Caenorhabditis elegans: one gene and its partners. The protein of the gene in region 3 purifies or fractionates together with the protein of the main gene of each other region. This does not show direct contact. Each region holds a gene or a part of one and is shown on either strand. Other genes may lie near its edges.

Region 1 (7,586 bases), 2.9 Mb from region 3:
TTTTTGAATTTTTTTATCATGATATTCGGTCATTGTGTCCCCATAGGCATGTTTTAAAGCAATTTCCACCTTTAAATAAAATCGAGAAAAAATGGCGTCAAAAGACATATGTAAAAGCTGTTTCTCTTTGTATATTCACACAGAATATAGCCCGATTTTGGAGGTGAAAAACCGGTTTTTTTGTATTCTTTACGCCACATAAAGTGATATGGAAGAGAAAATCGACATATTTATGTACTTGGAGTACGAGTACATTGGAGAAAAAGGGTGAACTACTGGAAAATCTGGGAAATTTCAGAAAAAAATTCCGAAAAATCTTTTTTGCTGAAAAAAAAATTTGTTCGAAATTTGGGAAATACTGGAAAATTTTCATCAAAATTAAAGCGATTTTTAACGTTTTTGCTTGGGAGATACTATTTGTAATTTTAATGTTTGGTGAGGACAACAGAAATGACCTTCAGCGTACGGAAAACGATTAAAAGACACATTTGAATCGAAAATAGCGTGAAAAACATGAAAATATCGGAAAAATAGCTTTAAAATTGGATTTGAAAGCAAAAAATGTATCAAAAATCGAGAAAAATGCTTGAAAAAGTTGAAAAACTCAAACAAAAAATCAAAAAAGGTTTTTTTAAAAATCTGTGAGTATCGCAACGAAAGCACAACTTGAGGCATGCGCCTTTAAACCAACCGTAACCAAATTCGGAGGCAAAAAAAGATTTCTCGCTGTTTTTTCAGTTTTAAAATCACTTTTCACGTTTCTTTTCGCAGTAATTCGTTTGCAAAACATCTGAAAAAATTTTATTTTATAAGAAATTATATAAAAATCGCTATAAATTGAGTTTTTGCCCCCAAATTCAGCACGGAGCACTTCTCAATTAAATATAATTTTATTTTTTAACATTGAAAGCTTTCATAAAATTGAGCTTTGTTTGTAAATAATCAGTGAAAAAACACAGAAATCTTCAAAAAATAAAGAAAAAGTTTTTAAAAATCTGTGAGTCCCGCAACGAAAATAAAACTTTAGGCATGCGCCTTTAAACCAACCGTAACCAAATTCGGCGGCAAAAATGGATTTCTCGCCGTTTTTTCAGTTTTACAATCACTTTTTAGGTTTCTTTTTGCAGTATTTCGTTTCCCAAACAATTAAAAATCAAATTTTCTTTTCCAGATGGCTCAAACAAAGCCGATTGCCGAGCAAATGGCTGCACTCAACAACTCAGATGACACGTCGTTCGCTGCCGATCGATCGAACAGTCTTCTGAATGCGACGTGCCCGGCGAGAATTCAAAATTCAGTAGATCAACGGAAAATCAATCGATCATTCAATGATTCGCTGTCGTCCGGATATAGTGGAAAATGGCTTCGTCCAAAGCGTGAAGCGCTCAAGATCACTCCATTGGCTCAGATTGACGAGGCGCCGGCAACTAAAAGACATAGCTCGGCGAAGGATAAGGTTTTGATTTAAAAAAAAAACTGAAAAATATGCAAAATCGATTTTTTTTCCAGCACACAGAATACAAAACGCGACTTTGTGATGCGTTCCGCCGTGAAGGATACTGCCCGTACAACGACAATTGCACATATGCTCACGGACAAGATGAGCTGAGAGTTCCGGTGTGTCTGAAGCCTGGAAATCTTTGGAAAATTTTTTTTTCAGAGACGCCGCCAAGAGTATTATTCCCGAGATCCACCACGTGAGCGCCGTGATTCTCGTTCTAGACGAGACGACGTGGATACAACAATCAATCGATCGAGTTCTTCAGCATCGAAGCATCATGATGAGGTGCTGATCGGATGGAAATTCGCTTTTTTGACAAATTTTCGCAGTTTTTTCGCTAAATTTCATTTAAAATATGCTTATTAACACATTATATCACTATTTAGACGAATATCTTGTAGAAATGTTGGGTTTTGTTCGAATTTTCTCTACTTTTTGAGTTGCTTCACGAAGAAATTGTGTTCTCTTTCATTGTACAGAAGAATCTATGTTTTACAAGGGAAAAAAGTAAGATGGTGCAACATTTTCTCGTGAATCGACTCTAAAAGTAGAGAATTATCGAACAAAACCAACATTTCTACAAGATATTCGCCTAAGTACTGATATTATGTGATAATAAATGAAATTTAGCGAGAAAATACTGCGAAAACGCCTTTTCAGACCCAAAACCGCCTAAATTTCTCGAATTTTCAGGGCTAAATCATTTTAAAACTCCAATTTCGCTCAATTTTCCGTGTCGAGACGGTCCGAAGTTGATTTTCTGGAATTATCATCCTTGTTTTGCATCTTTTAGTAGTTTATCTCAAATTTTTCCCGCCTGCAGACAGATTATGTGAGATAAACTACCAAAATGTGCATTAAATTATGATAATTCCAAAAAAAGTCAACTTTCGGCCGATGCGGCACGAAAAATTGCCAAAATTCGAGGTTTTTAGCTAAAATTATCAAAACTTTGGACAAAAATCATCCATTGCGCAGCGAATTTTTGGGGTTATACGTTCAAAATGTTTATTTTAAAATGAAATTTAACGAGAAAATATAATATACTGCGAAAACGGCTTCTCAGACCAAAAATCGCCCAAAACTCGAATTTTCAGGGCTAAATTGGCTAAAAGTCTTCATTTTTGGCAAGTTCTCCGTGTGGCGACGGAAAAAAAGCCAATTTCTGGCAAAATTGAAGATTTTCAGCTAAAATTAACCCTGTTTTTCAAAATTTTGAACAAAAATCGTCAATTTCAGCGAATTTTTGAGGTTTTACGTTGCAAAAATCCTTATTTTTAAGTGAAATTTAGGGAAAATATTACAATATTTTACTTCCAGAATCGGAGACCCAGCAACAACCACGGAAGCTCGAATCGTCGTCAGATTTGTCACAATTTCGAGAGAGGAAACTGCAGATATGGTCCAAGGTTCTAGGAAATCTGGAATTTTTATTAAAAATAAATAAAATAAATTTTCCTTTCAGATGCCGCTTCATTCACGTCGAACAAATGCAACATTTCAATGCGAATGCGACGGTTTACGCGCCACCTTCTTCCGATTGTCCGCCGCCGATTGCCTACTACCATCATCATCCACAACATCAGCAACAATTCCTGCCATTTCCAATGCCATATTTCTTGGCTCCACCGCCGCAAGCTCAACAAGGAGCTCCTTTTCCAGTGCAATATATTCCACAGCAACATGATTTGATGAATAGCCAGCCAATGTATGCACCAATGGCACCGACATACTACTATCAACCAATTAATTCGAATGGCATGCCCATGATGGATGTGACTATTGATCCGAATGCCACGGGCGGTGCGTTTGAAGTGTTCCCCGATGGATTCTTCTCTCAGCCACCACCAACTATTATTTCCTAATTTTGCCGTATTTTCCATATTTTGTTTTGTATATTTATCCACTCACCCCCTCTCTTTGTCCTGTGAATGAACTTGTGCCAAAAAAGCCAAAAATAATTTACTTTTTTTAAAGACATATTAAAACTTGAAAACTTGGAACAATACGGTGCGAAAGCGAAACAGAGACAGAAAAATGAACAAAGAGATCCGTGAAAAGTGAACGATGATTTAGGCTTCTTGTTGGGCGGCGTGGATGAGAGTGATGTTGTCTCCTTTGAGAAGAATTCTGCCGATCTTGTTGCGTCCCTTCGTCTTCATGTTCACCTCCTCGGCTTCGTCGAACACGACATTCATGAACTCGTCGAATCCGATGATGTAGCCCTCGAGACGGTGGGTGACATCCTCGTACAACCAGATTTGGACCCGAGTGCGGTTTTGGAGATATCTGAAATTTGGGAAATTGTTTTCTACTGATTAGTGAAAAAATATTACCTGAAGATGAGGTTCACAGGCTGAACCATCACTTTGTTGAGCTTTCTCGTCGACATTTTTGCGGGATGATCTGTAAAAATCAATATATTTTTTGAAAGACACAAATTTTTAAGATAAATATCAAGAAAACTCGATTTTAGCAGCTATTTAAGCTCAAAAACTACAATTTATGGCTTTAAAACATAATTTTTCACATTTTACATAAATTTCAACGAAAAAAAATGCCAAAAAACTTCAAATTTGAGCAGAAATCGGCTATTTTCTCGACAAAAATAATTTCGAAAATTCGTTCAAAAAAGATGAGTACGCAAGCACCGTGACGCACAGTTGCGGACTTTGTAAACCGTACCCCTGCATAAAAAGGCGGAATTTTGAATTTAATAAAATGCAGTTTAGAACAAAGAAAAGCACGGAGAGAATTGTGATAACTAATTATTTGTATTTAATTTTAAATACTACATAAAACTGAAGATTGGAACGAGTTAAAGCTGGTATTTGCGGTTTATAGCCCCAAAAGTTAAGGCTTGTTAGGCAATTATCGATAAAAACAACGAGAAATTCGTGAAATCGGCAAAAATTTATAGAAAACGTTTGAATTAAATTAAATTTACGCTTTTGCCGCCAACACCTATCGAGACCCTAGTTATAGGGGCGGAGCGTCATGGGAGCGCGCTTGCAACTCGATTTCAAAAAGTTTCGCTGTTTGTACAACATTCTCAGTTGTTCTTAATCAGTTAAATAAGTTTCAAAATTTTCAAAATCATAAAACACAGTTAATGCTAAATTAAAGTCTAAAAAATCAGGTGATAAGGGGTTTGGACGACCAAAAAGCGACCTTCGCTCGAAAATTGATAAACTAACTACACTTTTTCCGGAAAAATGATGGAAAAATCCTGATTTTCTTCGTTGAATCAATTTTTGTTTCATTTTTAACACTTTCACATGAAATATTTCAGTTAAAATGCTCAAGCTAATTGGGTTTCTTATAATTTTGGGTCTCGCAACGGCCGACAAGTGCTCAGATTGTTTGGCTCAGGGGAAACAGTGAGTTGGAAGCTTACAATTCTGAGAATTCGTATTGCGCAGCTTATTTGACGCGCAAAATATGAAATATCACGTAGCGAAAACTACAGTAATTCTTTAAATAAGACTACTGTAGTGCCTATGTCGATTTACTGCCTCAACTTTCTTAATCAAGCTCGTAAATCGACACCAGCTCTACAGTAGTCATAGTTTTCGCTACGAGATATTTTGCGCGTCAAATATGGTGTGCAATACGCATTTTCAGAATTTTATGTTCTCGTAATATACCTTTTTTCAGCTGGTGTGTTACTGTAAATGCATGTGGATTTACGCCATGTGTCACTACAATTACAGTGAGTTTTTTTGAAGAAAAAAAAATTACCCATTTGATCGCCAATTCCATTTTTCAAAAATCAATAAAAAAAAAAAATTTCGGCGATCAGAAACGTTACAGAAAGCCCTAAACTGCCCGGAACTACCAGATAAAGCCCACGCTTACGATGATTCATTTATGAGGAATAAGGTATTGATCACACATTCTGCTGCCTACAATATGGACCCACAAAAGTGTTTTACGTAGGTTCACCTTCTAGATAAACCTTAAAAATCGATACTTTCAGTAGTAAAATGCCTTCGATGAAAGTTTCCAAAACAGTTAATGTCAATTGTGATAGATATGGGCCAAGTGAGTTGTTTTATTAGCCCACGGATTTCTGGCTTCCCTCATAAATTGAAAAGGAAGAGATTGCCGAACTAGACCATTTTGGCTCGGCGCGTTGCGTGTCACGTCGCGGCTCGATTGTAAAACTAAATGTATTGGTCCGTGTGGAGTACACGACTTTCCCTTTCCGGCAGGCGATTGTCAATGGAGCGCGAAAAATTCAATGAGGAAGGCCAGAACCCCGTGTCTGTAGTTTTCTCAAAAAGTGGCAAAAACTCAATAATTGCCAATTTTTGACTGCCAATAAAAATTTCACTAAATTTATTAAATTTATTTTAAGTTTTATTGAAATTTTTTTAAAATTTCCCCACTGGCGCTAAAAAATCCAATTTTCAGAAGCAATGTGCTTCAGCTTCACGGCCATAGATACTGTCCAAAAAGTGATTGCAATGACGTTTAGAGGGACAGAAGGAGCAGCTCAATTGTCTGAAGAAATTTTGGATTTCTTCCAGTAAGTTCGGGAAATGGCAATTTAAAGTTTAATTGGATTTTTGTATTTTTTCTTCTCACGACTACAGTTTTGCACATTTTTATGTTATAAAAAACCAAAAAAAAATTTTTTTGCCTTTTTTCTCAGCTTACCACAAAACAATTTCGACCAAAAATAAATTGAAAAAATTAAAAAATTTTTTGCACGGTTTTCGGACTCAAAAAAAGCTGAATGTTCCTGGAACTATTTGTAAAATTCAAAATTCAAAATTTTCACGAATTCTCTAAAAGGTTCCAGCAAATTCCACAACTTTCTTGAATTTTTCAAAAAAGTTCTTGAGCATTCAACAATTATTTTTGGAATTTTCCAAAGGTTACAGGACGTTCCAATTTTTCAAAAAAATTTCTCGCAAAAAATGTTTTCTCAGAAAATTTGAATTTCCCTCCACATAAAAGATTGTTCTCAAAAAATTTGCAAACACACATTTTCAGCGGAAAAAAGGCGTTCTTCGACTCTGGAAGTGTATTCGAATATTTCTACGATGCCTTCCTATTCCAATGGAATGGAGGTCTTCAACAAGATCTTCGAAAACTCAAATACCAATACCCTGACTATGAAATCTGGGTTACTGGACACTCGATGGGTGGTGCCATCGCCTCAATCGCAGCTTCTTATATTGTGAAAATCGGGATTTTCACCCCGGATAAAATCAAATTAGTGACACTGGGACAGCCAAGAACCGGAGATTATGCGTTTGCCACGTGGCACGACGCAACGTTCCCGTATTCATTCCGTATTGTTCATCATAGAGATATTGCTGCACATATTCCACCAATGGAGGGACAGGACGAGCTTTTCCATCATAGAACTGAAGTTTGGTTAGTGGTTTTGAATTGGTGGTGACCAGGGATGTCGCCAAAAAAATGTTGGACATAATTAAATTCTCCAATCTTCTGAATTTTTTTCCCTCTCCCAACACAGCGGTTTTTGCTACGTGGCCTAGAAAAAAACATAAACTCTGCCAATGATATATCATAAATTGAAATGGAAGAGTTTGCCGAACTAGGCCATATCTGGGGTAGATTTACGGCGCGTTGCGTGTCGCGTCGCGGCTCGATTTTAGTTGTAAAATTAAATGTATTTGTCCGTGTGGAGTACACGACTTTCCCTGTCCGGCAGACGATAGCCAATAGAGCGCAAAAACTGCAATTAGGATGGCCAGAAGCCCGTGACAGAGCGGTTTTCGCTACGTGGCCTAAAAAAAGCATAAACTCGGTCAATTTTTTATCTTTGATGTTCCACGGCGGATGTTTCTGAAACTTGATGAGAATGGTTCTATCGTGGAGATTTATGAGCAACTGCTCCGTATCCATGTTATGATGGTGGCCGAGTTTTTCATATTTCACGGCCAAGTAGTAAAAGCCGCTATGTGCCAACTAAAAAACCAAAAAACCAAAAAACCAAAAAACCAAAAAACCAAAAAACCAAAATAGCCAAAAAAAAAAATCTAAAAACCCAACACGCGGTTCTGGTCTTTCTCATTGAATTTCTCGCGCTCCATTGACAATCGCCTGC
Region 2 (8,617 bases), 910 kb from region 3:
TATGCAAAATGGGTCTAAATTACAACAAAAAGTGTTAAAATTCTAAAAAAATCTTTTTAAAATAAAATAATGTTCATTTACAGTCCCTTGGCTCAGGGCTCTCCGGGCTCCAATAACAAAAAAAAAATATTTAGAAAAACGAATTAAAATTTTCCAGAGATGTGTATTTAAGCAGTCGGTAGAATGTCTTGTCCCTCCAAAAGAACGGTGGTACTGTAACAGAGATCCCAGTATTGTGCAACTCCGTGCTTTTCGAAAAACTCGCGAGCCTGCTTCTCAAGTGTAGCCGTGTGAACGGTGAAATCACGGAAATTTCGACGCTTCACTTGTCCTTCCCAGATCTGGAAAATTTTTAATTTTTTTAACTTTCAAAATATTTTTGAAAAAAGATTTTCAGCTAAAATCTACTTTAAAAAATTGTTTTCGAAATTTCATTTTTTTTAATTTTTAATTTTGAAAATTCCACAATTTTCATAAATTTCGCGATTTTTCTACTTGGTTTTCGGTGAAAAAAAATTTATTAAAAAAAGGATTTTCTAAAGAAATTTCCAGCTAAACAAACTTCCTAAATTGAAATTTTAATTTTTTCAACTCAATTTTCAGTTTTTTTATTTGATTTGTTTTCAAAATTCTATAAAATGTATACTTTTTTAAGTTTTAATATTAAAAATTTCATGAAAAATTTCCACAAAATTTATTCAAAAATCCTGTAAAAATTTAGAATAATTTTCCTATTTTCTACAAGTTAAATCAAAAATTTCCTAATTTTTTTTACCATTTCACATAGATTTCTTTCTCCGGGAGCATCTTTTTCAGCGTCTTTCTTTTGTCCAATAATCTCATCAGACCACTTGATTCGATTAATCATCAGATTTTTATAGAATTTCTGTTGTTTTGGACCACCTTCCACAACAATCACATTTTGAGCTTTATGCATCATAATTGCTCCACTCATTTGTAATTGTTTCGCATTTGTCTCCACTTTGAACTTTTTCGACGGATGGGCCAGTGATTTTACTCTGCAAAAAAAATTAAATTTTTGCTTTACAGACGTTTTTTTTTGGATTTTTTTGGCATAAAATTCTATAAAAATTGTGAAAAAAAATGAAATAATTTTTTTTCCAATTTCTAGACTTTTTCATTTTCATCACATAATTTAGGAAAAAAACGAATTTCCTCAAAATTCGAATTTTCGATTTTTTAAAAATCCTTTTAAATATTAATTTCGAGTTTTCAATTTAATATTTCAAAATGTTTTTAAATATTAATCAGTAATTGTAAAATAGTTTAAGTAAAATAAAATAGTATTTGAAAAAAAGTTTTAAAAACTCCAAAATTTCCAATTTTTGAAGAAACTAAAAAATAAATTGTTTAATATTTTTGGAGAGAAATTAAAATTTTCTATGAAATTTTAATGCGGGAATTTCAAATTTTTCGTGAAAAAAATTGTTCGACGTAAAATTACCTATAAACCGAAACATTAACCGCCGTCGACGTATCCTCAGACAGTTTTTTCGTCTTTTTCGCGCGTTTCTGATCTTCGGTAAGCTTTCTCTCAGCATTCAATGTCTCATGTTTCTTCAATCTTTCAGCCATTTGTTTCCGAACTTGTGCTTCCATTTTCGTCGGATCCTGGATTGCTTCATTTCCAAGAACTCTCATTAAATTACTAATTTTGACTTTTGGCTCCGGAGCCTTTTCCAGTCCCAAACGAATCTTCTCTGTCTTCTCTTTCAGTACTTCCTTACGATTTTGACGACGAATCTTCTTTTTTTCTTTTGTTGTCAAGTATACTTTCAGATATTGTTGAGTTAATGGCTCAGTGGGTGCTCTCATTGAAATCGGGTGCTCTACGAGTTCGGAAACTGTCTGTGAGTATCTTTCCATGTCGTTTTCCGCAGGGATTTCGTCGTAGCTGCAAAAAATTTTATTTTTGAGGTTTTCTAAGTTAAAAATTGTTAATAAACTCTTGAAATAAATTAATTTTCTTTTTTTTTTTTGGTAAAAAAACGTCCAGAAAGGCGGCCAATTTTTGGAAATTATTTATTCAAAAATTGGAAAAAAAAAATCCAGTAAAAATTGAGTATTTTTCGCCACTTTTAACGAAAAAGCAAGAAAAAAATGGTAAAAATATAACTTGAAATTTGAAATTTCGAAAAAAAATTTTTATTTGTAGCTGCAGCTATAAAAAAACTTTTTGTGAAAAAAAATTTCAAGTTCAATTTTTACCTTTTTTTTGTTTTTTCGCTAATTTTGTAATTAAAATTTGCGCTTTTTGGCAAAAAAAAAAACTAAATTTTTGACACGAATTTTGTTCGCTATAAATTTCAAAAAACCCAAATTTTGGGGCTAATCTTCACAATTTCTTGCTCTGAACCAAGCTCTGAAGCAAAATATTTAAAATTTAATTATTTATATAAATTTACGCCGGGGTCGGCAAACCGGCAAACTGGCAAAATCGACAAACCGGCAATTGCCGTTCGACCAATTTTTTTTGTCGACAAATTCGAATCGGCAAATTGCGAGTTTACCGATTTGCCGGAAATTTTCAATTCCGGCAATTTGGCGATTTGCCGGAAATTTCAATTCCGGCAAATTGACAATTTGCCCATTTACCGGAATTTTTAAATTCCGACAATTTGCCGGAAAAATCGATTGCCGTTGACCCCTGCTTTACGTTCAATTTTTAAATAAAAGTAGCCTATTTTTTCCAATTTTTCGTTCCAAACCATCCCAAAAATCAAAAAAAAAAAAGTACTCACTTAACCTTATCCAACACCAACATATCCCACCACTCAATATCCGGTACCCCATTCTCCATTTTCGCCGTGCCCGTTGGTGTAACCATCGCAAGTTTCACAGCCGATGAGATTCCCGTCGATTGTGCAGCCGATGAGACCTCATTCTGAAGCCTTTCGAGCTTTGCCATTGCTCTTTGCTTATTCGCAAGTTTCTCGAATTCTCCCTTCTCATGGAAATTGAACCCCCGGCGACGTCGATCTGCAGTTCTCGCCTGAATCCGTGGATCCAGATACTCGATGAGTTTCTCCGGTTCTTTTGATTCTTTTGTGATCTGTTGTTGAACCTTCTTCTCTGCTTGCTGAACAGCTTCTGGCAATGGAGCCATCACTCCGGCTCCCGAATTTCCAACCATCGCATCAATCTTTGCCATTACTGTAGTTCTTGCGAGCCTCGCTTTCAACTCTTCCATTCGACTTTTCTTATCCATTGAATGTGTCATAAGCATTGTAGCTTCATCTCTTCCAAGCGATAAAGATTTTCCACCGGGAGCCACCATTTGTGTCTTTGCCTGAGCCAATGCGGCTTTTGGTTGAAGTGTTCCAGCTGCAATTGCCATTTTTCTCTTCGTCTCCTCAATCTCCTGCTGAGCCTTGTACATCATTTCCTTTGCTCGGAGTCGTTCTTCAATACTTTGCTCTGCAGGCTTTTGAGGTTCTGCTACTGCTGCTGGAACTGAAGCATCCGGCTTTCTCCGATCATCCGTCCGATCTCGTTTCCGATCACGATCCTCTCCGTCTCGATCTGTGCGAGTTCGTTTCCGTAGCTGTGGATAATGATCGCAAACGGCGGAGATCACTTTTCGCGCCTTTTGTGGGTCGGAGATTGCTTCTTGAACTCGATCCTTGAGCTTTTCGTAGTCATATCCTTTCTTCAGACATCTTTCGACTGCTTCGATTACCTGGAAATTTAAAATTATAGGATTTTTTTAGGTTTCGCCACGGAAATTTGAAATTTTTAGGTTCATAAAAAATTTTTAATTGAGCAAAAAACTCTCAGTAATAATTTGCCGGGAAATTCAAATGTTCAAATTCGGAATTCGATCAAAAATTTATTTCAAGATTACCAACCTTGTCCTGTTCCTTTTTTCTGCTCAAATACTGGTCGCAAATGTCCTCGAGCTTTCCCATCTGCAAAAATTTGATTTTTTTTTCAATGTAGAAGAGTGAAAATGGGAATTTTTAACTGGAAAAATACTTTTTCAATTAAAAATCACTAAAAATGTTAGTTTTTGAGCAAAAGAACAAAAAAAAATCAACATCTTCAATTTTGAAAAAATAAATACTAGTTTTCAGTTTTTAACCTGGAAATATGAGTTTTTAAACGAAAAAATAAAAAAAATACAGCTAACAATTTGATTTTTCCAGGAAAAATTGAAATTTTTCGGCTGAATTTTTAAAAATTAATATTAAAGCAAAAAATAGATAAAAATTGCGACAAAACGCATAAAATAAATAAAAATTGAAAAGTGCGAAAAAAATCACCATATTCATTGAATACACCAAAAAAGAAGCAATTTCCGTCTGAATAAGTTAAAAAATAAAATAAAAATTTTAAAATTAAGGTGCCAATAATTTTTCACAAAAAAAAACGGAATATGCAATACTGGACAGAAAACAATTGTTTTACAAAGAATATTTTGGGATAAAAATGATGAGATTTTTTTTGAAATGTAGGAATTACAGAAAAAAATATATATGGATGAAAATAAATATATAAAAATTGAAATTTTGAAAAAAGAAACAATTGAGAACCAACGTTTAAAGTGTTTTGCAGATGGGATGATGGATGGAGATCACTAGTAATTGAAATTTGGAAAAAAAAGTAAAATTAATGAAAATGGGGGTCAAAAACCTGGAAAAATTGGCTGAAAATCGATAAAATCTGACTAAATCCGATTTTGTCCCCGCTTTTCCGTGAATTTATGAGGATTTTGACCATTTTTGGGTGAAAATGAACGGGAAAAAAGTGATTAAGCAGATGTAGAAGGTTGAGATTCTTCCTCTTTTTGCTGCTCTTTTTCGACAGGCTCTTTCACAGCTTCATCTTCTTTTTTAGCTGCTTCTTCAGCATCAATTCCATTTTTCGAATCTCCAGAATCATCTTCCACGTCATCATATCGTCCACTGATCGCCGATGAAAGAAGTTTACTTAGATCACGGCCACCGCATTGTTCACCGCCTTCTTCTTCTTTCAGCTCACGGAGGGCGTCTGGAAAATTTTTATGTTATTTTTGATAAATTTTTGTTTAAAAAAATCGCATTTTTGACCGAAAAATCTCAAAATTTCAGCATTTTTTATGAATGGGAATTGAATTTTCTGGCAAAAAACGAAAATTTGCAATTATTTTAGTTTCAATAATTTAAAAAAAAAACGTAATTTTCAATGACAGAAATTTCAAAAATTTGAATTTAATCACATTTTTTTCCTGTAAAAAAATCAGAGTTCTTTGATTTTTTTTTTTGAATTTCTGGAATATTTGGACTTTTGAAAAGGTCGAATTTTCGAAATTTTCGGTAAATTTCGATTTCTTCTAACAAAAACTTAAAGTTTTCAATGAAATGTACTAAAATTTAAATTTTTTTGCTTTTTACGTAAAAATCGAGCATTTTTCGGGAAAAAATGTTGATTTTACCATTTTTGAAGAATTTTCTGACAGAAATTCAAAATTTTCACTGTAAAGTTTATCATAGATTATATAAACTTAAAAATTTGAACTTTCTACACGAAAAAAATGTTTGAAATTCTTAATTTTTAGGACAGTTTCTGAGAAATGGGGCATTTATCTGAAAAACGTTGCATTTTACAATATTTGAACAATTTTTTGACACAAATTTCGAATTTTCACTGAAAGCTTATAATAGTTTCGTTTAAAAATTTTGTAAAATTTCGAACTTTTTCGACCCAAAACATTGAAATTCTCAATCTCTAGGTCAAAACTGAGCGATTTCCAGCTTTTTCCACCAATTCTCTACCTTCATCCAACTGTCCCTTGACACCATCGGTAACCTGTTTCTCCAATTGCAACTTCTTCTTCGCCAACGCCAACATTCCAACTTCTACAGTACCCTTACTCACAAGCCGAGTGACATGCACAGGCTTTTCCTGTCCCATACGATGACATCTGTCCTCTGCCTGTTTATCGTTATACGGGTTGAAATCAATATCATGAATGATGATATGATTAGCCGATGTGAGATTAATTCCAAGTCCACCGGCTCTTGTGGAGAGTAGGAATACGAATAGATCCTTTGAAAGATTGAATTCATTAATCATTTCCTGACGATCAAGTACAGGAGTCTGTCCGTCGAGTCTTTTATATGAATATCCACGAATATTGAGATAAACCTCTAGAATATCCAACATTGATGTAAACTGTGAGAATATTAACACTTTATCTCCTTTTTTCTGAATCTCGGGGAGCATCACATCCAACTGCTCACATTTCCCACTTTTCAGTGCAAGTTGCTCATTGAGCAGGAATTTACTCGTACATCGGAATCGTTCACACAGTTGATGGATCTTAATATCGGATAACCAGGCGAGATCTTCTGACACGTGCTGCCACTTCTTGTCAGCGTAGGCTTTTTCTCTGAGGCACAGCATTTTGGCTATCTTATCGAGTTTTTGATCAGTGTATTCGGAACGTCGGAGTAATGGATGATTGGCTGCTTGACGGAGACGCATTAGGGATCCGTATGAGTCGCCAGACTCTTCAGATTGTTGGAGTCTGGAAATATGGATTTTTTTGTTTTTTGGCATTTTTAAAATACTTTTTTTTTAAAGTTTTTTAAAGGTTTTTTAGAACCGAAAAACCGAAAAAAAAATTGTATTTGAAGTATTTAGGGAGAAGAAAAGATAGTATTAAACAAATTTTTTCAAAGAGAAAAAAAAACGTCAAGCTAAAATTGTTACAAATAATTGAATTTTCAATGTTTTTTTTTTTCATAAAAAGCAATAATTCTGAAATATTCCAACATTTTGGAATTTAAGTCAGTTTTTGCAGCAAAAAATTCAATTTGTATAGTAATGTTTTTCTGTAACTTTAAACAGGGTGAAGCTATACATTTTGCAAACTCAGCAAACTGAGATTTTAAATTTTAGTCAAACATATTTCGCTTTTTCGGTGATTTTTTTTAGAAAAAAATCGCTCAAAAAACTTTGAATTTTTTCAAAAATTCATGATATATACTGTTTTTGATGAGAAATAACAGAAATAAATATTTTTTATTAGAGAAATGACTTATAGAATAAATTATAAAAATTGAACTGGTTCCCCGAAAAATTTGAAGTGAAAAAATCTATAAACTTTTCAAGAATCTCTCGAGAAACTATAGCTTTTCCCATTTTTCAGAGGAAAAATTAAATTTCACAACTTGTGAAAAACTTAAATTAAAGTCGATATATTCTCGATAATTCAAAAGTACAAACTTTAGAAAAAGCTTTTAGATTTTTCTGAAAAAACTGAAAAATCGATTTTTTTCGTTGAAAATTTCAATTTTTTTTTAAATTTGATTCGTGTTATAGCAATTTTTAAAAAATCAAAAACTCACGCTTCAACAATATTATCATAGAGTTGCTTCTGCGGTTTCTTCATCTCCACCTCAATAATCTGTTCAGATTTCGACGGCAAACTTCCGAGCACTTGATTCTTAAGTCTTCTGAGAATATACGGTTGTAGGATTGCCTTGGCCTCTTCAATTCTATCCTGTTGATACAATGCCTTATTTTTCGTGTCAAGTGCTGGGCCGAGTTGTTTGAAATGTTGAAGAAGATGAGTAATATCTTCACAATACTTATTGAATACTTTTGATAACACAAAATACATCAAAGAGATCAGCTCAATGAGATTATTTTGTAAAGGAGTTCCTGTTAATAGAATCTTCTTTTTTCCTTTAACTTTCATCAATCCTCTATAACGTTCGGAATCGCAATTCTTCAACATGTGACCTTCATCGTAGATCACATAGTTTAGAGAAAAGTTTTTGAAGAATTTTTTGTCGTCCGATTTTGAGGTTACCATGTTGTATGTGGTGAGGATTACGTCGATCTGAAAATTAAAAAAAAATTAAATTTTTTATTTTGGAAGCTAAAAAAATAAAATAGAAAACAACTAGTTTTCAATTTTACCAAAAATTGATTTCAATTAGAATTCTGTAACGCAAAAGCGGAAATTTTCGATGTCTGGCACGAAAATACGGTAATGGTCTCGTATCGATGAAATTTGCAATTAAAGGCGCACAGAATTTATAATTTAAATATATTCTGTCGTGTCGAGACCATGTACCGTATTTTCTTGATTAAAATCGTCCAATTTCGCCCTTTGCGCATATTCAAATCATGTCAACTCTGAGAGAGAGCAGCTGTCAAGTAACCTGAGCAATGCGGCGCATTTATGTGCAATCAGGTGGCTCAAGAGATTGCGCACAAGTGGCTCAATGGATGTGAGCTTGTTTTCCGAGTAAAATGTCGCTGGTTCAAACCTACGCGGCCCCCATTATCTTTCCATCAAATGATTTAGGACGTCATTGGTGGCTTAGAATGGGGAAAATTGAATCGGTAGAATGTGATTTGTGAGTTGTTCACTGACACGTGGCAACTCGTATTCGCTACTTCCTACATTTTCATAATTAGTCAGTTTTCATTGGATTTCTGTTATTTTTTGGTTAGATCTTCAAAAAGTTATCATTTTATTCTAAATATTAATTAGAATTTTTTCTTCATAAAAAGAATTCCTAAAAACAACGAAAAATTCTCAATTTTTCTGGAAAAATTTGATTTTTAAAATTCCTAAAAACACCCAGAAAATAGGAATTTA
Region 3 (8,617 bases):
TAATTTTCAAATTTGTCAACCAAATTTTTAATTTTTTTGGGTTTTTTGGCGATTTTCTTACTTTAATATTTCTGTTCACTGCTTGTCGAAGAAGTGCGGGCATTATTTTGAGCATCTGAAATTTGATTAATTTATTTATTTTTAATTTTACCAGTAAAAGTGTACCTTTTCATTTTTAAAAAGAGGGTCATCTTTCTTTGCTTTTTCTAATTTTTGAGCCATCGGGTGATCGGAGATGACACATTGTGGGGAAGCATCATCAAATGAATCAATTATTGTAGCACCAGAAATATGTAATCCTTCTGCCACGTTTGTTCGTAGAATACGATTTTCAATTTCGAGCAGAAATGATCTTCCCTGAAATTCATAATTTTGTTTTTTTTACTTTAAATATTCTCTCACAATGAGCGGTTTTCCTTTTTCATCATTTTGTCCCTCATTCGGAATTCCTCTACTCGTTGATTGTCGTCTCCAATCACTCGCCATTCTATGAAAAACAAATTTAATTATAAGAGAGAAAAAGCTTTAAAGTCTCTCATTTTTAGAGGACAATTACATTTTTATAATTTTTTTGTTCATCAACATGAACAAAATCGGATAAAATTTTTTATGGTTTAAAACATTTAACAAAAAAAATGCAAAAACAAGAAAATATAATTTTCTACTGCTAAAAAAATAAAATGGACACAATTTTCAGTTTTTGCAACTTTTTTTCTTAAATAATGGAAGTTATATATTTTTTTTCTGACAAATTGGAAAAAGCGATACTCTTGATTAACAAATTCATATTTTTGTTCACAAGATATTTCAAAATATTTAAAGAATGAAACTTTAAGTTTTCTGAAAATTTTAGAACTGAAACAAAAAATAGATTTTCAGATTTTATTATTGGAGAAAGAACAAAACAATAAACATTTTATAACAGTTGATTGGAAAATTTAAAAAAAAACGAAAATTCATACTAAACTACAAGGCTTTGAATCCTAAGGCAAAAAAACAGGTAACGAGGAGAACAAACGCATCAGTGTAACAAAAGATGGAGTGTACTCGGATTATCAGAGATGTATATTTTTTAAATGATTAGTTTTTCGATGGACACTCGTGTCAGAACGACAGTCATAACATGTATGAAGGAAATGGGTTACAGATAGATGGAGAAGACAATGAAAACGGGAACATGTGATTGATTAAGTTGTGGGAAATGAGGGAAATGCTCCTGAGCAAATTTGAAAATTTCAGGCTGATTTTTGGAATTGAGCAAATGTTTTTGGTTATCAGAGAAAGAAACGGTGCAATTATCTCATATAATTATTTCAAAAAAGCAACGAAAATGCGGTCACGGTTTTCTAACAAAAAAAAAGTTATTTACTAAACTGATATCTACACCTAAAAAAACAAAACAAAAAGAAACAAAAACTGATCTATATGCTATACACTATTAAAAACTAAAATAATCAACGAACAAGTAATTCTAAATTTTTTGAAATTTGATAAACAACTTCCAAAAAATTGGGTGATATCTAATCAATTCTAATCGAGAGTCTCATTGTCAAGCTGAGCAGCAACATCTGTAGTCTTGCTCTCTTCAGTCGTCCCATTTTGCTGTTTTCCGAGAGAAGACAATCCAGGAACACCAATGATCAGTATTCCGTTGATGATGTTTAAGGTATCAAATAGAGAGGTAACTGTTGGAGGTTGAGCCTATAAAAATATTGCGATTTTTTTGCTATTGTGAAAATTTAATATTACCTGGAACAATTCAGTAATGTTTGTACTATTGTCAAGTTTCAACATTTTCTTTTGGAATGTAACAGCTTGTTGAGTAAGCGTGCGAAGATATTCACTCGATTCGTTGACTCTTGGGTGATTTGGTCCATAGAGTTCGGAATAAATAGCGAATGTTTCCTTTTCAGCAACTAGAGCAGCTCGGAAATCTCCACGAGCCGCATGTGTTCGGGCAATCAAATTGGAAATCAATCCAGTCTTCAGCTTTCTCGGTTCTCCAATAGTTTTTGTGATAGCATCAGCCGATTGCAAGTACTTCAAAGCTGTGTCGAACTCTTGAACAGTGAACAAAATGAGTCCAATGTTGGCATCAATTTGAGCCATTACAGGATGTTTCTCTCCAAATACGAGATTCATGAGATATCTCGCACGGTACAATGGACGAAGAGATCCAGGAATGAGAAGTGCTCCAAATGCGAAATGGGCCAAATTGATCTGAAAAATGTTCAATGTCATTGCAGAAAAATTCCCTTTATTTTGTTCTCATTGTTCTTCAAGTTTATCGAAAAACAAAGATGATAAAACATATTTAATGCAGATGATTTTTTATTAATAGTACTTACATATTCAATAATGGTATTTCCTGCATCCAATCCAATCAACCGTTCGCTCATGACCGCTGCCTTATGCTGGTTGTTCAAAGCCTGAAAATTATACGGCATTGGTTTTATATATTACAATTTCCAATGTATTCAGTGTTCATGCGGCTAAATTGTTTTAAAAACCAAAATAACTAATGATAAGACACTTACATCTCCAGTTTCTCCAAGAACGTGGGACAATCTTGCAAGAGCTCTCAAACATTGTGGCATATCTGGATGCATTACACCATAGACAAGTGTCATGAGATTTAGTGATTCGCCAATACACTCGTAAGCTTCTCGGGAGGCACCAATAGACATCGCTTGTTGTCCACGAATGAACATTTTCTTAGCATCAGCAGTGAATGGTTCATGATGCTTGATGATTGGGAAGAAGTTGATGATGTCATCTTCAACGAAAATTGATGTTTTCTTTGCAGTAGAGTTATCCAATTGGTAATCTCTTGCTACGAGCTGAACTCCCATGACTTTGCAAATGCGGCGGAAAAGAGCAGTTTTTTGGATATCATGCAATTCGGTGAACTTTTCAAGGGAGTCGGCCTCAATCGGGTATCCATAATAGCTGGCAGAATCTTCACGGATACTATTCCAAAGTGCTGATGTGGTTAACGAAGACCAGGCAGATGTAACTCGTTTCTTGCCGTTCTTCTTATTGGCTTTCTTCGCAACGTTCGCAGCAATAGGGCTTGGATCCAAAACTACAGAGAATAGGCAGTTGAGAATGTGAGATGTACTTGCGGAGAGTTGATCAGCAGTAATTTGAACATTGATCTTGCGGATGACATGCTTTGCAGATCTAGCAACGATATCCGAAAGAACAAGTGGACGAGCAAATGAGACGCTGTTTTCAAGACGTTTTCCAATTTCTCCTAAATAGCGAATATTGATACCATTGATGTGCATAATGTCAGCAAGATTATCTCCATCAATTGGTTGCACAACGCAATCTTTCAAGTTCTGAACAAGCTCTGGAATCTTCTGGGTAAGGAGGAAATCTGCGGCATCCACAACAACACGGCGTTGTCGTTCAAGGTTCTCTGTTGGTGCATGTTTGACATTTGATGAGAAACAATCCGGATTGAACTTCATAACATAGCGATCTTCATAAATAGAATGAACAACTGCACAAGCTTCCTTGATAGCATCTTGAACGACTTTGTTTTTGGCTTCAAACTCCTTATCTTCGCTGATGGCCATAAAGAGTAGTGATAGTTCAGTTTCTGCTTCGGCTGAAAAATAAAAATAATTTGATTAAGAAAAGTTTTGTACGAAATGATTACCTGCTTGCTTAATCAAAGTTTCATCATTTTTCTCTTTTGACTCGGTAATCAGATCACGGATCTTCTTTGCAGTTAACTGGATGAAAGTGACCAATCTAGACTCACAGAACGCATCAATTAGTTCACGGCGGAGAGCCGAAAGCTTGTGCGGGAATTTTCGTGGATATCCCAGTGTTTTAGCGGCCTCAGAGACCTCTGCGTCATCGAGATAATGAACATCTGGAGGCATTGAACGAAGAAGGTCCAAAACGTATTTTCTACCATCGTTTCCAATTATTCCCTTAGCTTCGTAGCTTGTATAAAGCTTCAACTCTTCCTTAACTCCGTCTTTCTCGCTGATAACGGTGTGAGGCAGCATTTTCAGTTTGTGAGCAGCATCCTCGAGCAGTTCGTGATACTTTTCATCAGAGACGACAGTTTTTCCAAAGTCTATCGATCCATACACAACAGATTGTTCTTGCTCGCGTTCCAAAATTCCTGGTATGATGGATTGTGCAGTCACACGATATCCTCGATAATCGAAAATTGCCATTCCTAGAGTGTTGAGTTTTGGATCATCAAGAGTTGCAAATGCCCGCACTCCTTGAAGATCGGTCGATGTAGCAGCAAAAGCAGCAGCGTCTCCTCCAAGCTCCTTATAATGATCTCTGACGTCAAATCCGAGACTGAAGAAGATATTGTTCCAAATGTACATATGAGTTTTCTTGTCCTCTCCTGGGTTTATAGCCAATATATTTCCATCAAGAATAGATTGAACACCTCTCGCAGCAGCATTTACGTAATCAGCATGAATTTTGTAATAACTTCGATCACGGATTACTCGCTCAGAAATGGATTTACGGGTCATCTCGAAAGTAGTCTGAAGCTCTTCATTCCAATCACGAAGGAGTCCTGGCATATGATCTTCAAATCCAACCCGGAACGGCTCTGTCAATTCAATGGCTCTCAATGAGTCACTCATGTACCCATCAGTTTTCAATGGATTTCCAACCCATGAAGAAACTGGGTAACTGGTTGGAAGTCGCTCAACGAGTGTCTTTTCTTGACGCCGCTTCAAAATTTGAGGATATACTTTCTTGAATCCTGGACTGACATTTTGAAGTAGTTCAATGACGCTTTGGTAGACAGTCTTATTGGAATTCGATACTGTCGGATCGAACCGTCCATCTTGTGAGTTGTTCACATAAAAACCTCTAGTGCAACAGGTGACATGGTAGATGCGATTTTCAACTGTTGTGATGTCGATGTACAAGACATCTCCTCTGAGCTTTCGAGGTCCTGGTGGAGGGTTGTACGGAGAGAATGCGATATCTTTAAGGGCAATGAGCTCTTTTGGTTGTGGAACAAGCAGATGAGCAAGGGAGCGTTCTTTGCATCCTGGAAGAGCATGATCTGGTGGAAGAATATCGGAAGGTTTTGGTTCTTTCTTTTCTTCTGGTTGCAAATTGATTGTTGTCAAATATGATTGAGCATCATTGGTACACGGGGGCTCGTGCTGATCTTCAGTAAGTCCAAATTTGAGTAATTCACGGACTTGGCGGAGGTGGAGACGAGCATCACGAATGGTGTATGGCTCATCGACCACGTTCAAGGTGCACCCATCAACGAATCCCGGAATAGCACGGACTTCAGAGTAGTTGTCTACGGCTGTTCCGTTCAAATACAAGGAGAAACAAGTTCTATGACAAGTAGCTTCACGGTCTAGCAGCGTCTGGTATAGTTCTTGAACCAACTCATTGTCGCTGAGCTGAAAAAATGTCTGGATTCTAAAATCAGGAAAGAAAAAACTGACATGTAGCTCGAAAGCGTCTCCACAAGATGGTTGAATAGTGATCTTCACGAACTTGTCGACTTGCTTATCTGAAACTCAAGGATAAAAAAAAACTAATTTTAGATTTTTCTCACCTGGTTCTGATGAGTCTGGAGTGTTTATCGACGAGTGACCTGAGTCGTTTTCCTCTTGAGGAATTTCGTGCTTCCCATTGATGATCGGCACTTCGACATCAGTTTTCGTTTCGGAACCCAAAGTCATCTGTAAAATATTTAAATATCAGTTCATCTTCATAATTATATTAGCGAAATATTAAACGATGAAGGATTTATGACGCAAATCATGGAATTCGAAAAATTGTGCGAGCACAGCACAATTAACGAATGGATAGATAATGGAACAGCCATGAAGACTTGTACCGAGAAAGTTGCAGAAGAACTAAAAAAAACTACAGATTTGGAGAAGGAAAGGATATTATATACAAAAATCCTATGCTATCGCACTTACGAGCGCAGCAGAGAACAAATATCAGAAAGCAATATCATTAACACCTATTTTTATACTCATTTTCTAATTTTCCGACACTGAATCAAAAATTAAAAACATCTGATGCAATAGGAAACGAGAAATTGGGAACAAAGTGTATTGTAAAAATTTTGCTCCAGGAATGCGTCAATCATCACGTTGGCGCGATCCTCGTTCATTGCGCTTTTCTGGTGCAAGCAAGTGCGCCCCACCGTATTTTCCGACGATAGATTGCATCGAAAGGGGGCACGCAGCGTTTCAGTTTTCTTCGATTTTTCCACAAATTTTGTTTATGCTACATTTTCCTTGGTGTTTCTTTCGTTTTCACTTTTTAATCAAGTAATTTTCAGAATGCTTCCCAATGGATTTTCATTTCTTAATCCCAATTTAGTAGCGGCTGCTAACATTCAACAAGTTCTCCTGAACCAAAGATGCAAGTTTTTCATAAATTTGTAAAATTGGCCAATTAATTAATAAAATAATTTAATATTAATGCAAACATTTTCAGTTGGCATGCCACCAGTTGGATCTATCGCTCAAGTTCCGCTCCTCCAAATGCCCACCCACTCTGTAGTTGCTCCGCACGTTGCAGCTCCGACGAGGCCTTCACCAATGCTGGTACCTCCTGGAATGGGCATAGACGAATCCCACTCATCCCCATCTGTCGAATCTGATTGGAGTGTGCATACGAATGAAAAGGGTACACCTTATTATCATAATCGTGTAACGAAACAAACGTCATGGATAAAACCAGACGTCTTAAAAACTCCACTCGAGGTAAGTGAAAAATATAGTTTACAGCGCTCTTGAAGTCTGATTTCAGAGAAGTACTAGCGGACAGCCACAACAAGGTCAATGGAAAGAATTCATGAGTGATGACGGAAAACCATATTATTATAATACCCTTACAAAGAAAACGCAATGGGTTAAACCAGATGGAGAGGAAATTACAAGTAAGATTTTATCTAGAGAATCTTTCAATTTGAATTATTTATTTCAGAAGGAGAACAGAAGCCAGCAGCAAAGGCTGCAACTGTGGACACTGTCGCATTGGCAGCGGCTGTTCAGCAAAAGAAGGCGGAATCCGATCTAGACAAAGCCATGAAGGCTACCCTCGCATCAATGCCAAATGTACCTCTTCCGTCTGAAAAGAAAGAAGAAGAATCTGTGAACGATGAAGTTGAATTGAAGAAACGGCAGTCAGAACGATTCCGTGAACTGCTCCGTGACAAATATAATGACGGAAAGATAACAACGAATTGCAATTGGGATCAGGCTGTAAAATGGATCCAGAATGATCCTCGTTTCAGAATTCTGAACAAAGTCTCAGAAAAGAAACAATTATTTAACGCTTGGAAAGTTCAAAGAGGAAAAGAAGAAAGAGTAAGTTGAAACGAAAAACAAATTTATGAACAACTACAAACTATAACTTAGCATTTATTTCAAAACGATTCCATTCTCGTTGAGACGTTTTTGTGTCATCTCGAACAACTGATCATCTGTTGCCTCTGCATTTTCTGATTTGACTAGTTTATATTCGTTGATGAACTGCTGAGAGACGCTTGTTCTTGAGCTATCCACTTGAATACCAGCCGTACTTCTGTATGTCTTGTAGAACTTTCTGAATAGAGAAAACAATTTAAATAGTCAGCGCCTGAAATAACCAAAACTTACGCTCTGAGAACATCTTCCTCGTAGAAAATAGAGCGAATTGGTTCGTCGTACTTTGCTAATTTTACATTCCAATCTGGCGGTGTTAATGGTGGAGATGAAACGTACACATCATACCTGAAATGATAATTATATCACGATATCCGCTTGAATGAGTAAAAATTTACCACAAAGGACGATCTGCCCAGTTCAGTTGACCAGCACGGATGAGTCCAGTGACTCGCGAAAAAATATTACCAGAACGTTCCGCACGAGTGATAAATGAAGCCATTTTGACCTGAAAATGATTGGAAATTTGCAGAAGGAGAGAAGAAATTAACTTTAAAAACGGAAAACGCAGTAAGAATTTGCGCACGGAAAGGTGGGAGGGGCGACTCCGCCCCTTGCAAGGCGGCGGCGCGGTTTTCGGCGGGCGATTATTCTCTGTGAATATTTACGACTGCAAAGTCACGGCTTGCAAAGTTTTTATAATTATTTATTAAATTTCAGGATGAAAAACGACTGGCAATCAAAAAGTCTAAAGAAGATTTGGAAAAATTCTTGCAAGAGCATCCAAAAATGAAAGAAAGCCTCAAATACCAAAAAGCCAGCGATATATTCAGCAAGGAGCCACTTTGGATTGCTGTTAATGATGAGGATAGAAAAGAGATTTTTAGAGATTGTATTGTATGTTTCTAAGGCTTTTGAGAATTGTTATTGTTAATTTTTCCAGGATTTCGTGGCTCGTAGGGACAAGGAGAAAAAAGAAGAGGACAGAAAACGAGACATTGCAGCTTTCAGTCACGTTCTTCAGAGTATGGAGCAAATAACTTACAAAACTACATGGGCTCAAGCACAACGAATTTTATATGAAAATCCTCAGTTCGCGGAGAGAAAGGATCTGCATTGTAAAATATTTTGACTCTTATAAAATTCGAATTTAATTGTTTTTCAGTTATGGACAAGGAAGATGCGCTCACAGTTTTCGAAGATCATATAAAACA

Evidence for each region.
Region 1: the proteins of prp-40 (region 3) and snr-6 fractionate together in Caenorhabditis elegans (co-fractionation; one large-scale study listed by BioGRID). This does not show direct contact.
Region 2: the proteins of prp-40 (region 3) and prp-3 fractionate together in Caenorhabditis elegans (co-fractionation; one large-scale study listed by BioGRID). This does not show direct contact.

The regions. Positions count from the first base shown.
Region 1 is NC_003281.10:12,425,722-12,433,307, forward strand, and holds snr-6 (putative small nuclear ribonucleoprotein E), read right to left. Parts: upstream 3,909-7,586; 5' UTR 3,894-3,908; coding exon 3,838-3,893; intron 3,791-3,837; coding exon 3,574-3,790; 3' UTR 3,451-3,573; downstream 1-3,450. Other genes in the region: pie-1 (Pharynx and intestine in excess protein 1), read left to right, coding at 1,172-1,456, 1,510-1,617, 1,661-1,786, 2,822-2,910, 2,967-3,366; Y49E10.16 (Fungal lipase-type domain-containing protein), read left to right, coding at 4,799-4,881, 5,159-5,213, 5,315-5,436, 5,481-5,545, 5,918-6,032, 6,503-6,889. UniProt on the Caenorhabditis elegans protein: Plays a role in pre-mRNA splicing as a core component of the spliceosomal U1, U2, U4 and U5 small nuclear ribonucleoproteins (snRNPs), the building blocks of the spliceosome.
Region 2 is NC_003281.10:10,424,054-10,432,670, forward strand, and holds prp-3 (U4/U6 small nuclear ribonucleoprotein Prp3), read right to left. Parts: upstream 3,930-8,617; coding exon 3,870-3,929; intron 3,701-3,869; coding exon 2,763-3,700; intron 1,916-2,762; coding exon 1,466-1,915; intron 1,020-1,465; coding exon 776-1,019; intron 342-775; coding exon 168-341; 3' UTR 60-167; downstream 1-59. Other genes in the region: smrd-1 (SWI/SNF-related matrix-associated actin-dependent regulator of chromatin subfamily A containing DEAD/H box 1 homolog), read right to left, coding at 4,772-5,010, 5,775-6,529, 7,353-7,849.
Region 3 is NC_003281.10:9,515,762-9,524,378, forward strand, and holds the start of prp-40 (WW domain-containing protein ZK1098.1), read left to right. Parts: upstream 1-6,313; 5' UTR 6,314-6,314; coding exon 6,315-6,396; intron 6,397-6,471; coding exon 6,472-6,740; intron 6,741-6,786; coding exon 6,787-6,916; intron 6,917-6,963; coding exon 6,964-7,346; intron 7,347-7,359; exon of another isoform or gene 7,360-7,400; coding exon of another isoform or gene 7,401-7,584; intron 7,585-7,637; coding exon of another isoform or gene 7,638-7,751; intron 7,752-7,801; coding exon of another isoform or gene 7,802-7,905; exon of another isoform or gene 7,906-7,911; intron 7,912-8,123; coding exon 8,124-8,300; intron 8,301-8,346; coding exon 8,347-8,521; intron 8,522-8,568; coding exon 8,569-8,617. Other genes in the region: F55H2.7 (uncharacterized protein), read right to left, coding at 62-115, 166-357, 403-486; clu-1 (Clustered mitochondria protein homolog), read right to left, coding at 1,531-1,701, 1,750-2,220, 2,349-2,429, 2,538-3,616, 3,668-5,414, 5,460-5,527, 5,573-5,699; mrps-23 (Small ribosomal subunit protein mS23), read right to left, coding at 7,401-7,584, 7,638-7,751, 7,802-7,905.